Coturnix japonica: one gene and its partners. The protein of the gene in region 3 binds, or shares a complex with, the protein of the main gene of each other region. Links are inferred from orthologs where the notes say so. Each region holds a gene or a part of one and is shown on either strand. Other genes may lie near its edges.

What was found. The genes of interacting proteins can lie anywhere in the genome.
Region 1: the proteins of BACH1 (region 3) and FBXL17 are in contact, whole or in part, in a cryo-EM structure (PDB 8UAH), measured with the Homo sapiens proteins. The link is inferred for Coturnix japonica from reciprocal best matches to the Homo sapiens genes BACH1 and FBXL17. Residues at the interface, in NP_001177.1 of Homo sapiens: Val20, Leu21, Ser23, Leu24, Gln27, Val32, Leu33, Asp35, Phe39, His48, Arg49, Ser50, Val51, Ala53, Ala54, Cys55, Ser56, Ser57, His60, Ser61, Arg62, Val64, Asn72, Thr74, Pro76, His116, Asn117; in NP_001156787.2 of Homo sapiens: Asp395, Arg421, Asn447, Gln473, Gln498, Glu499, Met524, Arg548, Cys574, Leu575, Tyr598, Val600, Ser601, Asp623, Trp626, Met651, Arg652, Val676, Gln678, Asp679, Cys680, Arg682, Thr683, Glu685, Gln689, Trp692.
Region 2: the proteins of BACH1 (region 3) and FBXO22 are in contact, whole or in part, in a cryo-EM structure (PDB 8S7D), measured with the Homo sapiens proteins. The link is inferred for Coturnix japonica from reciprocal best matches to the Homo sapiens genes BACH1 and FBXO22. Residues at the interface, in NP_001177.1 of Homo sapiens: Ser7, Val8, Phe9, Ala10, Tyr11, Glu12, Ser13, Ser14, Val15; in NP_671717.1 of Homo sapiens: Asp366, Gly371, Asn372, Phe373, Ile374, Leu375, Arg376, Lys377, Cys378.

The regions. Positions count from the first base shown.
Region 1 is NC_029547.1:42,393,957-42,398,246, forward strand, and holds the start of FBXL17 (F-box/LRR-repeat protein 17), read left to right. Parts: upstream 1-1,488; 5' UTR 1,489-1,590; coding exon 1,591-2,334; intron 2,335-4,290. UniProt on the Homo sapiens protein: Substrate-recognition component of the SCF(FBXL17) E3 ubiquitin ligase complex, a key component of a quality control pathway required to ensure functional dimerization of BTB domain-containing proteins (dimerization quality control, DQC).
Region 2 is NC_029525.1:2,728,556-2,732,609, reverse strand, and holds the start of FBXO22 (F-box only protein 22), read left to right. Parts: upstream 1-1,252; 5' UTR 1,253-1,352; coding exon 1,353-1,468; intron 1,469-1,548; coding exon 1,549-1,681; intron 1,682-1,772; coding exon 1,773-1,860; intron 1,861-2,067; coding exon 2,068-2,163; intron 2,164-2,748; coding exon 2,749-2,913; intron 2,914-3,875; coding exon 3,876-4,041; intron 4,042-4,054. Other genes in the region: UBE2Q2 (ubiquitin-conjugating enzyme E2 Q2), read left to right, coding at 169-200. UniProt on the Homo sapiens protein: Substrate-recognition component of the SCF (SKP1-CUL1-F-box protein)-type E3 ubiquitin ligase complex that is implicated in the control of various cellular processes such as cell cycle control, transcriptional regulation, DNA damage repair, and apoptosis.
Region 3 is NC_029516.1:93,631,229-93,634,739, forward strand, and holds part of BACH1 (transcription regulator protein BACH1), read left to right. Parts: intron 1-2,898; coding exon 2,899-3,511. UniProt on the Homo sapiens protein: Transcriptional regulator that acts as a repressor or activator, depending on the context. Binds to NF-E2 DNA binding sites. Plays important roles in coordinating transcription activation and repression by MAFK.

The DNA of each region.
Region 1 (4,290 bases), on a different chromosome or scaffold from region 3:
TAAAGGCAAATATTTTGGAAATAGGAAGAACTCCCTACGTGAGTTATATGTATATGTATATGTATATTGTATGTATATAGTTCAAAATCATGGGACAATATCGGACTGTAAGATGTAAAAGCAACATAGAGAAGTCAGTCACCTTTGCCAAAAGTACTGCAGTTATGTGATCATGTGAGTAAGGACAAGGCCACGGTGACTCTTTAGAAGTTGCACAGACATAGCTGATTAGTTTGGAATATTTGATACTGTAAGCATTTCTCCTGAATGTTGTTCAGTTTGAGTGCTTGGCTTTAACTGCCTTTACAAGCTGAATTTGTTCTTATAAAAATAAAGAATGTAAATCTGAGAGATGAATAGACCTGCCAATTTTTTTGCCAGAACCTGCTGCAGTTTATATTGATGGGTGTCAGTGAGTTAAAAACTCAGATAAAATATTACATTATGCTACTTTTATCACATAATGTATTAGTATTCTTCTCAGCAAACCTATTTTTACTGAATGGTTGATAAAGAGGAATCAAAGGAAAATAGTGTCACAGGTATTTTAACCCTCACACAACATTTTCCTGGGCAACAGGCCCAAAGATTTTGTCCACAGTACCTGGCACTGTGCACTTCTGCTCTGGCCCTTCATTTTTAAGTAGCAATACTGTACCTTATATATCCTAGTTACAGCTGGTCTCCTCCCTCCCCAAACACCTTCTACTAAAGGCAGTGTCCCTCATATATTTAAACCTATACATGCGAGTCATTTTACGTCAATAATTTAGAACCGAATCCTGAAACACGCAAAATAAGTTTGCTGTGGACAGTACTAATTACGGCACTGCGGTTTATATTTGCAAAGATGTACACACTCTGAGCAACTGTAACACAGGGGCAAAGGTGCTGGTCAGCAGCGATTCAAGACAGCAGGAAACGGGATTCGCCGGAGCGTGTAGCTGTGAAGAAGGCATTGCTAGAGAAGACGTGGCTTCGGAAGCAGAACGCTTCCATCAGTCCCTCAGCTTGCGTTACTCGGCCATCGCAAACGCCTCGCCTTCACTCCTGTCCGCTTCCCCACCGGCTCTGACCAATCGATTTATTTCTGCCTCGCTCCGCACACCGCAGCCGCACGCCCCCGGGAGCAGAGCGGGGCCCGGAGCATCCTCAGCGCGGCCGCCGCGCTCCTGTACCGCGGCTCCCCGTCCGCACGCTCGTACCTACAGACGCCGCGCTCGCAAGCCCCGCACCCTCGCTCTACCTGAGCGCACCCGCACCGCGCGTGATGGGGCGGCCCCGTCTCCACCCGAGTGAGGCCGCCGGGCCTCCAGGCCCTTCCCGGCCGTCTCTCCGGCGGCGGCTCCCGGCCCGGCCGCTGGCGGCAGCACCACCGGGCGGCGGCGGCGGCCCCTCCGCAGCGCCGCCTCCTCGCGTCCCGCGGGGAAGGTCAGGGCGGCGGTAGCGGAAGCGTCTCCCTCCCGGCTCCGCGTCCCGGAACCAGCCCCGCCGCCCCCGGCGCCGCCACCTGCCGCCCCCGCCGGCAGCATGACAGCGGCCGCCGCCCGCAGGTGACGCCCCGCGGGCCCTTTCGCCGCCGCCTCCTATATGGGCCACCTGCTCTCCAAGGAGGCCAGCAGCCTGAGCCGGGACAGCGGCGGCCGCCGTCGCCGCCGCGGGAGGAAGGTGCCGCCGCGCAGCCGGAGCTGCTTCCTGCGCGGGCCCTGCATGCTCTGCTTCATCGTGCACGGCGCCAGCTCGTCCGCCCCGGAACCGCCCCTGCCCGCCGGGGACCCGCTGCTGCCGCCGCCCTACGCGTCCCACGCCGCCGCCGAGCAGCGCGCCGCGCGCCGCCTCCTCCGCCTGCCGCCCGCCGCCTGGGAGCCGCGCGGCCGCTGCCGGCGCCTCCTCCTCTCGGGCCTGCTGCCCTCGCCGGTGCGAGGCCTCCTGGGGCCGGCCGGGCCGCCTGGCGAGGCCGTCTCCGAGATGGTGTGCAAGCGCAAGGGGGCCGGCCTGCCCGCCTGCACCCCCTGCAAGCAGCCGCGCTGCGCCGCCGGCGCGGCGGACCCCGAAGCTGCTGCCTGCCAGTGCCCCGCGGAGCCGCAGCCCTGCGCCTTGCCCTCGGCCGCCGACGGGGCGGGGAGCGGCGGGACCGCGCCGCCGAGGTGCCCCGCCGGGAGCGGAGACGGAGGGGACCGGTCGGTATCGCCGCCGCCCCCTCCCTCCGGAGACGAGAAGGAGGGAGTGAAGGAGCGGAGCGGCGAGGAGCCTTTGGAGCACCCCGGGGACGGCTGCCGGGAACCGTCGTCGCCGCCCGACATCAACCAGCTGCCGCCCTCCATCCTGCTCAAGGTGGGTCGCCGGGCCGGGGCTGCCTTCAGGGCCGCGGGGCCGGTAGGCCCGGGTGGGGCTGCAGCCGCCCGCCTTGCCCCGGGGGTCGCGGCTCAGCCCCCTCACCTGCGGCCGCTCCTCGGACACGCGCGGTCGTGCTCCTGCCCGAACTGCTGGCCCGGCCCGGCTGAGGTACGGGAGGAGCGGCCTTGGTCCCTTACCCTGTGCGGCGTGAGCTCTGAAGTTGAAGCGGAGGCAGTCGCGGTGCGCTGCCTCGGAAGCACTTCGACTTCAGCCTGTTGCATGACTTTGTAGCGCACCTCGCACGCGTGGTGCTCTCCGGGTCGGCTGTTCGGGAGCAGGCGGGCAGCCGGTGAGCTCCGCTCGTTCTGTGCGAGTCAGAGCGGTACGAGCAGGCTGTGCTGAGGGGCATACAGCTTCTTCCAGGCTGTGTTCTGAGTTCGTCTTGGTTTTACTGTGCTTCCAGTCATAATGAATTCTTGTAGCACTTCTGAGCTCTGTTCTTTAACAGCCCATTGCTTTGTATATGCCGGGTCTTGCTTTGCTTCCTCTCCCTTCTGCTGTGCTTTGGTTCCTTGATTACTGTTTGCTTTCTAGAGTAACTTATAGTTCAGGCTGCTCGGTCTATCATTCTACACACTGTTCTTCAGCTGAGCCTTAGACCAGGTGAGAACCATTGCTGGAGCTGGAGTCTGCAGTGTTTTCCAAAGTTTGTTGTCAGGGTTCCTTCAGACTGGAACCAGTTGGACTTGGAGTACTACAGAAGTTTTCTTTGGGGTTAGATGGCTGAACTTGAAGCAGTGTGTTAACAGAGCAGTGTGACAGATGGCTCTTCCTGTCTGTGACCAGATCCGTTCTCTCTGTAAACTCTGGTTGTGCAACCCCAGCACTGAAAGTGATTTCTGATCTCTTGTCCACAAACACTGACATTCTGCTATTGGTCTTCCACATAAAATTAAGTCTGTGCTTGTTTTTTGTTGTTGGCAGTGGTTTGTTTTGTTTTGGAAATATGCATTCCTGTCTTAGTTATGTTGTAATGGCATGCAACATTTTTTTTTATTTTTTCAGTAGATTCACTGCCCAAATTCCCCCGTGGCAGATATTTAAGAAATCACAAACTGCCATATCTGTCTTAATCTCTTCTGTGATCAAAACTCTGCCTCACAGTTTTACTAAAATAAAGGATCCATTTCTTTGTCACTGTTAATTTAAGATCATAGAATCATTAGGGTTGGAAGGGACCTTTAAGATCATCTAGTCTAACCACAAACCCATCACCACCATGCCTGCTAAACCACGTCTCTCAGTGCCGCAGGTGACTCCTCGTGTTATCCTTGGTATTGGGCTGTTACAACTTGAGATCAGACTGGCATAAGTACACCTTAATGACTTCTTCTCATCAGTTGTATGGCTTCTGTAGTCTCTTCAGCACGTGTCCAGTTTCACATTATCAAAAATGGCAGTCTAGCATGATCATAAACTTGTTCTTTTAATAGTGTGACTTTGTCATGCCGCTCTCATGCCTCTCTGGAAGCAGCCCCCCATTACAGCTTGCAGTGGTTTACATATACTTTGCAGGCAAGTACTGTGCAAGCACATCTGGTTGTGCTGTTTCACTACTCCTGACTGTGCAGATCATTTCCCCTCATTCCCATGCAAAGCCAAGCTCCTGGGGCAGGACAGATGGAGCCTTAGGCTCAGGGTTAGATCTCCCTGAATCCTTGTTCTGCTCTAGGACTGAAGTTTTCTCAAAGCAGTGCTGCTGGTGTTTTTGTCACATGCTTGTTTGTTGCTCCTGGTGCTGGGATGTTTGCAGCTCTGGACAGAGACCAGTGCCTGGCTTCTAGCAGAGCTGTTGAGCTCCTTCCTGCTGGCTGGTAAGGCAGAGCAGCCAGCCCTTCCTTCCCAGTGTTTGTAAGCATGAAATGGAGATGCTTGGAAAACTTTGTGCTACGT
Region 2 (4,054 bases), on a different chromosome or scaffold from region 3:
GGTCAGTAAAGGCCACGTACACTTGATCCGATAGAATTCAACATACCAAATGCTGTCAGGAGCCAGAGTTACTCAGCTGACATTTCTGCCACCCATTCAGAAGGCAGCTGGTAAGCTCCTTTGAGCGGAGCCAGGGCAGCGCCTAATGCATTTCTCTGTTCTCCATAGGCTGGTACACTCCTCCAAAAGAAGACGGTTAATACCGAGGACTGTTGTATACCTGGACCAATGCCAACAAAAAGAGCTCTTTTTAATGTTTTCCAACACAGAGACTCGAGCTATGAGTGCCCCTATAACAGCCGTACTGAAGACTTTAGCTATTAGATAAGTTAGTGGATAATCTGTCAACTGACACGTCAAGTATAAGTTGCAGCCTTACCATTCCGCTCATCTTAGGCATCTTGGACTGAGCAGTCTGGGCCTTTGCTGTATTTGTTCTTCATGGATGAAGCGTATTTGGGCCACTCCCTCCCTTCTCCCCTTTTTTACTCTGGAGGTGTAATGCTGCACTGGAGCATTCAGCAGGGCTCGGTCACACACTTCAGTGCATTTCTTACCTTTCGCAGGATGCAGAGCGCCGAGACTTGAGTTGTGTTGTTTCATTTAAAGCCAGGAGGTTGACTATGTTGTTTAATACTGTTATAGGAAATGTCAGACCTTGCGAATCACAGTAGTTTTGTTTGTTTTTTTTCCCTCCGGTCTAAAATGGCAGCGTTTGTAGTACTTCCAAATTACTGATATAGGACAAGCACATGTACGTTACGTCATTAAACATTTTCATGGCTGTATGAGAATACGAACTATTTCTTGGGAGAGATGCTCACGGCCCGATGCTTTTGCTCTGCTTCCCCTCCAGCAGTGCAGGCGTTGTGCCTGCAGCACAGCACAGCCCATGGGCTGCAGCTGCACGGCCGAGGCTCCGAGTCATTGCAATCCCTACAATAACCAACAAAAGCCCACGTCTGTAGGCGATCCATTAATTGACGGGTTGTTGCAATCATTTGTCAACTAACGAACTGATAAAGCGAGTGCGGCACGACGGGGCGACAGCGAGCGTGGACGTGCGACGGGACGAGCCGCAGCGTCGGACGGGGCCGGGCCCAGCGCTGCCCCCATCCCTTGGTGGGCCCGGCCCGGCCCGTCCCGCCCGTCCGAGCCGCCCCGTGCCGTGCTGTGTGTGTGTGTGTGTGAACCTGCACCGAGGTGCCAATAAAGCCGTTTGACACCCGCTGTACGAGCCGCTTCCGGGGCGGGGCCGGAAGGGATGCGGGCGGAAGTGCCGTCGCCGGAAGCGGAAGCGCGTCCCGCCGTGCTCGGTGGGTGTCGGGTGTGGCGCTGAGCAGCGTGTGGCCATGGACACGGACATGGACGGGCCGGGGAAGGGCGGCCTCGTGCTCGGGAACCTGGCCGAGGTGGTGGAGCGCGTGCTCGGCTTCCTGCCCACCAAAGCGCTGCTCCGGGCCGCCTGGTAAGAGACGGGGTAAGGGGGGGGTCGGGCGGAGGTGTGTGCGCCGTTGTTGAGGTGACGGGCCGGGCGCTGTGTTGCAGCGTGTGCCGCCTGTGGAGGGAGTGCGCGCGGCGGATCCTGCGCACGCGGCAGCGGCTCAGTTGGGTGTCGGCGCTGGAGCCCGGCCCGCCCGGCGGACACGCGCTGCTCCGCGCCCTGCACACGGAGCTCCAGGTGCGTCGGGGGGCGGGGCCCGGTTCGTTCCTGCCGGGCGGGGCCGGTACCGGGGCGGCGTGACGAGCCCGCGCCGCGCGTGTCCTTGCAGAGGGTGCACGTCCTGCCGCACACCGTGCTGTACATCGCCGACGCCGAGACGTTCAGCGGGCACGAGGAGTGTCACGAGCACAAGAAAGGTACCGCGGGACGGGCGGGGACCGGCGGGAGGAGCGAGATGAGGCCAGCGGGGAACGAAGCGCGGCCACGGCTCGCGGCACTAAACGGGGCAATGGCGTCGGTAGCGGCCGTGGCGCCAGAAGGGACCGGCCGGGGCTTCGTGTTCCTGTCAGCTTTGCAATGATCGCTTCAGCTCCTCCGCGCCGTTTTTGTTTCCTTTTCAATAGCCAGGAAAAGAAACAGCAAAGAAACAGCCCTTGCGATCGAGAAACTGTTGCCAAAGCGATGTCAGGTCCTTGGACTGCTCACCCCGGGGATCGTAGGTAGGAGCCTCCTTGCAGTGCTGCGCTCCTTAGTAGCGTGTTCGTGCCTGTCTTCTCACCTTCCGTTCTCATCCTGCAGTATACTAAGAGGAAACCTTCTTCCTTGTTTCTGTGTTTTCAAGGCATAGCTCGTGCCGTGCTTCTCGGCAGCAAAAGCGTTTATGTGTTAAAACATTTTCTAGGTGTTTGCTTGGTGTTTGCTTCCAGTCTCTGTCACTGCAGCCGTGACTAATAAGAACAGGCCTATAGCATGAAGGAGTACAGGGCTGCATAAACACCTGTGTGAAGTTAATAGCCGTGAACATTTGATTCTGTGCCTATGGCTGTTTGAGTACTTAGAGTAAGGAAAATTAGTGTATATGTCTGTCTTCTCATGCAAAGTGACTTTAGCATCGTTTGTGGACAATGGAGCTGTTACACCTTTCATCTTTCACAACAACAGCAAAAAAACATTCACACCAGTTATCAGTTAGATGTGTTGTGATGGGAATGAGCTGTCACATTGTAAATTGCACATGCTGTTCTACCTCTTTTAGCCAGACACAAGTGTCAATCACTAATCTTTCTTTGTTTGTGTCTTTGTAGTTACCCCTATGGGTTCAAGCAGCAATCAGCCTCAAGAAATTGAAGATGGTGAAGCTGGGTTTGCTCTTTTGTTTCCCAAAATTGATGGGGTTAAAATCCAAACCTTCCATTTTCCTAAAGAAGTAAAGAATAGGGTCATTGATGAAAACAAATTTGCTGAAGCAGGTATGTCCTTGTTCTGCCTTCAATCTGGGCTTTTGTCGAGTGTTTGGCTGCTCTTTGAGGATCCAGCGTGAAACTGCATGTGGGACCAGCAGCTCCTGTGCTGTGTTCACAGAGCACTGAGGCTCTGCAGGGCTGCTCTGGTAACCACCCATCTCTGTTCCACCCATTCTTGGGAGCACTGAGGTTATTATCCTGAGTTTGTCTCAAACTTCTTCATTCATGCTGCAAGCAGAGCTGCTAAAGGGGAGCTAGTGGGTTTGAAGCAACCCAGTAATTGATTAAAATGAGTTTTGTGCCACAGGGAATTATTTTGGCCATCACTGTTTAGAAGGGAGTGGGAAGGAGTTGCTGCTTTTCCTTAACAAAGTATTTTTGTTTTTAGATATGAAGTTGGGTGTTGTAGCAAGGAAAGGTATAAAGAAAAATTATCTGTCTTAATAATAACAGTTTACGTTCTTCATGTTGTGTTTATGAAGAGTGATCTGAGAGCTCTGAGAGTCTTCCTGGAACCTGGAAGTTTCTTTCTTGGGATGGGAACAGGCTGATGCACACATCTTAATGGTTTTTAATTTTCTAAGTAAAGCTGTTTACTCCACTGTGGTTCTCATTGAACAACGTGTGTGCTCAGTTTGAATCTGTAAAAGGATAATTAGGACAGTGAAGTAAAACCCAAGAAGTGTGCCATGATAAAACGCAAATGCTCTGGGAAAGAAGCTGAAAGCAAGAGGAAGCAGCTACATCTACTTTTCATCTCTGTTCTTTAATGAAATTCTCATGTGTGTAGGGAATGCAGCCCAGCTCATGAATACATGGCTGCCCTGTGTCTAGTTTTTCACTTGCAACAACAGGAAGCCGTTGCTGGAGGCATTAGGTGTTATTTAAGGAGGGAGTAAAGAGTGTATGCAGAACTCTTAGACATTGGGGAAGTCAGAATAAGGGGACTGAAGTTCTCGTTTTTGTAGGCCTGAAGAATAATCCAGATCTTCGTGTGGTTCTTCTGTTCGGATACAACTCCTGGAAGTCTGGAGCTACTCGTTTTCTTCATCAAATAGTCAATCCTTTGAATGAAAAAAGTATCATCTTAGCTGGGGGACAAGTGGAGAGCTTTACATCGCTCATCTCTGAGAAGTAGGTATATTTT
Region 3 (3,511 bases):
AAGGGAGTTAAAAATAACATGAAAATTGTTGGCAAGTCATCTAGAATCATTAAAGCCAGGAGGAAATGTGCGTGACAATGAATATCTGTAGTGACGTCACTTCAGCAACTTGTTTGTGTACAAGAGCAAGTTGAACACTACCTTAACATAATTATGTATTCAGAAAGCCTGTATCTTCCTAAAATAGCTCATTCACTAGCTCTATAATATATAAACACAAGGATTCTCTGTAACTGTAATATCTGATTACTGAAAACCAAAAATGATCACATCATCTCTTTTGATGTGTTTTGATGAATTTGCTACAAACTGATGTTACGCCATGATAACACTGTCAGCTTTATTCATTCTTCCTGTTGCCTCTGTATGTTCGTTTCTTCTTCCCTCTCTTCTCTATAGTGGCTTAGCATGTTAATAATGCAAATAGTATGAGTGAGATAAATCCTTTTAAGCCTGCAACTTCACAACATTGTCTAGTACTACTGATGTAAAAGCTGAATGTGCTGCAATAACAAGCAAAAATACCAGCAGAGCATCTTATCTTCTGATAATTTGATCTCATCACTTGGTAAAAAACACTTTGTGAAATTGGAGCTTGTCTTTTGGAAACTGCTAAATGTTTTGAAATGAGTCAGTTTATGAAACTGAGTACTTGAGAGGGACAAATAAATAAATACTAATTGGCTTGGCAATTTCTTAACCCTTTTGATCATCCAAAGTTTTTGAAGTTCAAAATAAAATATGCCGGTCCAAAACGTGAAATACTTGAATATTGACATTAACTTGTTTCATATAGATCATCAAAGCTAACCGGTGACACCTTGCTGTCAGTCGCTTCTATTGTCTTCCTACAGAAGTTACACTCTGAAATTAGACTGCCGTCAGCAATACAGATGAAACAAATAGCTTCTGCCAGACTTCTCTTCATTCAGACCAACAGTCTTTCCAGTGATAGATCATGTTTGAGGAAAGCTAGCTAGAAAATATGGGAGAAAATATGAGGAGCAAAGTGTTTTTTGTTCTGTAAATCTTTCAATTTATTTATTCTTTTTTAGCAAGGAGTGGTAAATGAAGTATGTACAATTTTGAAACATATTCGTTTGGTTTGGTTTCATGTATGAATGTAGTCTGTTTACAACCAATAAATCTTATTTATTTATAGTAGGTATAAATATACCTTGCAAGCACATAGATAAACTCTTTTCCTTTTCACTTTTTTTTTTTTTTTTTTTTTGAGGATGAATTAAGAATACTGACCAGATCACCATGTTGTCTTTAGGGTATATTTGAAACATTTTTAGAATTCTTTAGGTTTAAGAGTTTTCAGAATATTTTGCTAAGCTGTCTGCATAGATCACTTCAACTGCCTTTTATTTGGTATTTCCATGTTCTTTAGAAATAAAAAGCCCAGTGTGTGGGCTTGGGCTATAGTAGTAATAATAATGGACATACTCCATTTTATTTTTACTTGCTAAAGGAAGTAGCATGTAACTTTTAATATGACTGTGTTGCAGAAAGGAACCAGGTCGAGACTCGAACTCGTGGGTACTCCAGGGTTGATTTTATTAACAAGCTCAGTGCTCAGGTGAAACATGCATACAGAGCTTGGGTCACTCCTAGTGAATGACCCTTAAGCTTTACAAACGTCCTATATTTATATGATTAGGTAAACATTACATCATTTATGTTATTCATTTCTCGTGATTAATCAATACATCTTCAGTCCTTCTTTCTCGTGTTTCATCCTAGGCCCAGGCTTCATGCTTCACGTGTTACTCTTCTTTTGAACTTGTCCAAAAACTCATTATCTTCTTTCATCCGAGCCATCCGGGCTAGACCAGTCCATTCCATCTGTCTTATGGTTAAACTATACATTTTAACTGTTTAACTACTAAATAGCAATGTCAGCACTATTATTGTCTACCTCTGCTGTTTCATAACTTCACAATACTCTAACACCCCTACATGGGTCATGGTTCAGGGCTATACAGGGGATACATGAGTAGCATATTGGTTGAGAAATTTACCATTTTCCCTAACAACTGTCTGTTTACACCTTTCTACCTGCTTTCTTAGTAATTTTTTCAATGATAAGCAGGATTGTTTATCTTTGAATTCCCTTTTAGGTAACTGCTCTGTAGTAGAAGCTGAGTTGATAATGATGGAACTGTTCCAAAAGGCTTACCTTCTCCAAAGAGACTGTAACTGCTGTTGGCTTAGGGTTTTGGTTACTATTCTTTTTGTCCATGAGAGGAAGAAAGGCATAGATGGCTACAGTAGTAAATAATTGTGTGCGGTCAAACTCAATTACTTCAAAGTTCTTTATATCAGTGATGCATGAAACTGAGCAAATAGCAGTAATTGCTCTTTAAAGGAATGATTCATGCCAGCAGCGTTTTGATCTTTCTCAGGAATAACTCACGTGTAATTTTACTATGGAAATTATCTTTATAAAATTTGAGTCCCTCTCCTGGTTTTCAGATTACAGCAATAAATTTCACTTTTTAGTACTGTATTATGAGAGTTGTTTAAGAGGTTGATCACAGTGAAGAAAATAACTGCCATATAAAATATACAGGATATAATTATTTCTTATTTGCTTCACAATGTGTGTGGCCAGATTTCCTTTCTGAAGCAAAACTGCTGCTTGTCTCTCGTTCTTTGTCCTGATGGCATGACTTTCTGAATACAGGATGTGAGTTCTGGGTGTTTAAGCCCATGTACATGTTGGGACTGTAACTAGAAACTTGGCAACCTAACTACTACCCAGTGAAACAGAAGTGGATAAGTGGGGCCTTGTTCTTTTTTATGTGGTTTGCACTGGTAAATGGGAAGCAAGAGAGTTTCACCAAGCAGGAAGTTGGCCGTGCTAATTTTTTTCTTGTTTTTCTTCCATAGGTAACGCTTAAGGGATTTAGCCCCTTGCTTCAGTTTGCATACACAGCTAAACTTATTTTGAATAAAGACAACGTGTCTGAAGTTTGCAAGTGTGCTGAATTCTTGGGCGTACGGAACATTGAAGAGTCTTGCTTTCAATTTCTCAAATTCAAGTTTTTGGACTGTAAATCAGATCAAGAGTGGCCTAGGAAGAAATGCTGCACACAGCATTGTAGGAAAGTAAATCCTAAAATTAGCAACGTGGATGATGGAGACCTAGAAATAGACGATGAAGCGGAAGAACTTCTAGAAAAAGAATATATTCAAGCCTCTCATGCAAAGCTCTGTAAAGATGATGACAGTGCTAAAGCATCACCTGCCCTTCAAGATAATGCCAACCCAACCTCAGATCCTATGCATTTAGAAAAAGGTAATGTTTCCAGCTCATCTTCCCAGTGCCCCAAGTATAGGAAATTCCAGAAAGCTTTTGGAAATGACAAAGTTCATACTTCAGATTCCAGTTCCAGTACTAAAGATGTTCAGGTGCCACCAATTGTAACCTTTATCGAGAAGGAAATACCTGATAATGACAGCCCAACAAAAGCTCAGGAGTGCGTACCTATGCAGCTGGTCT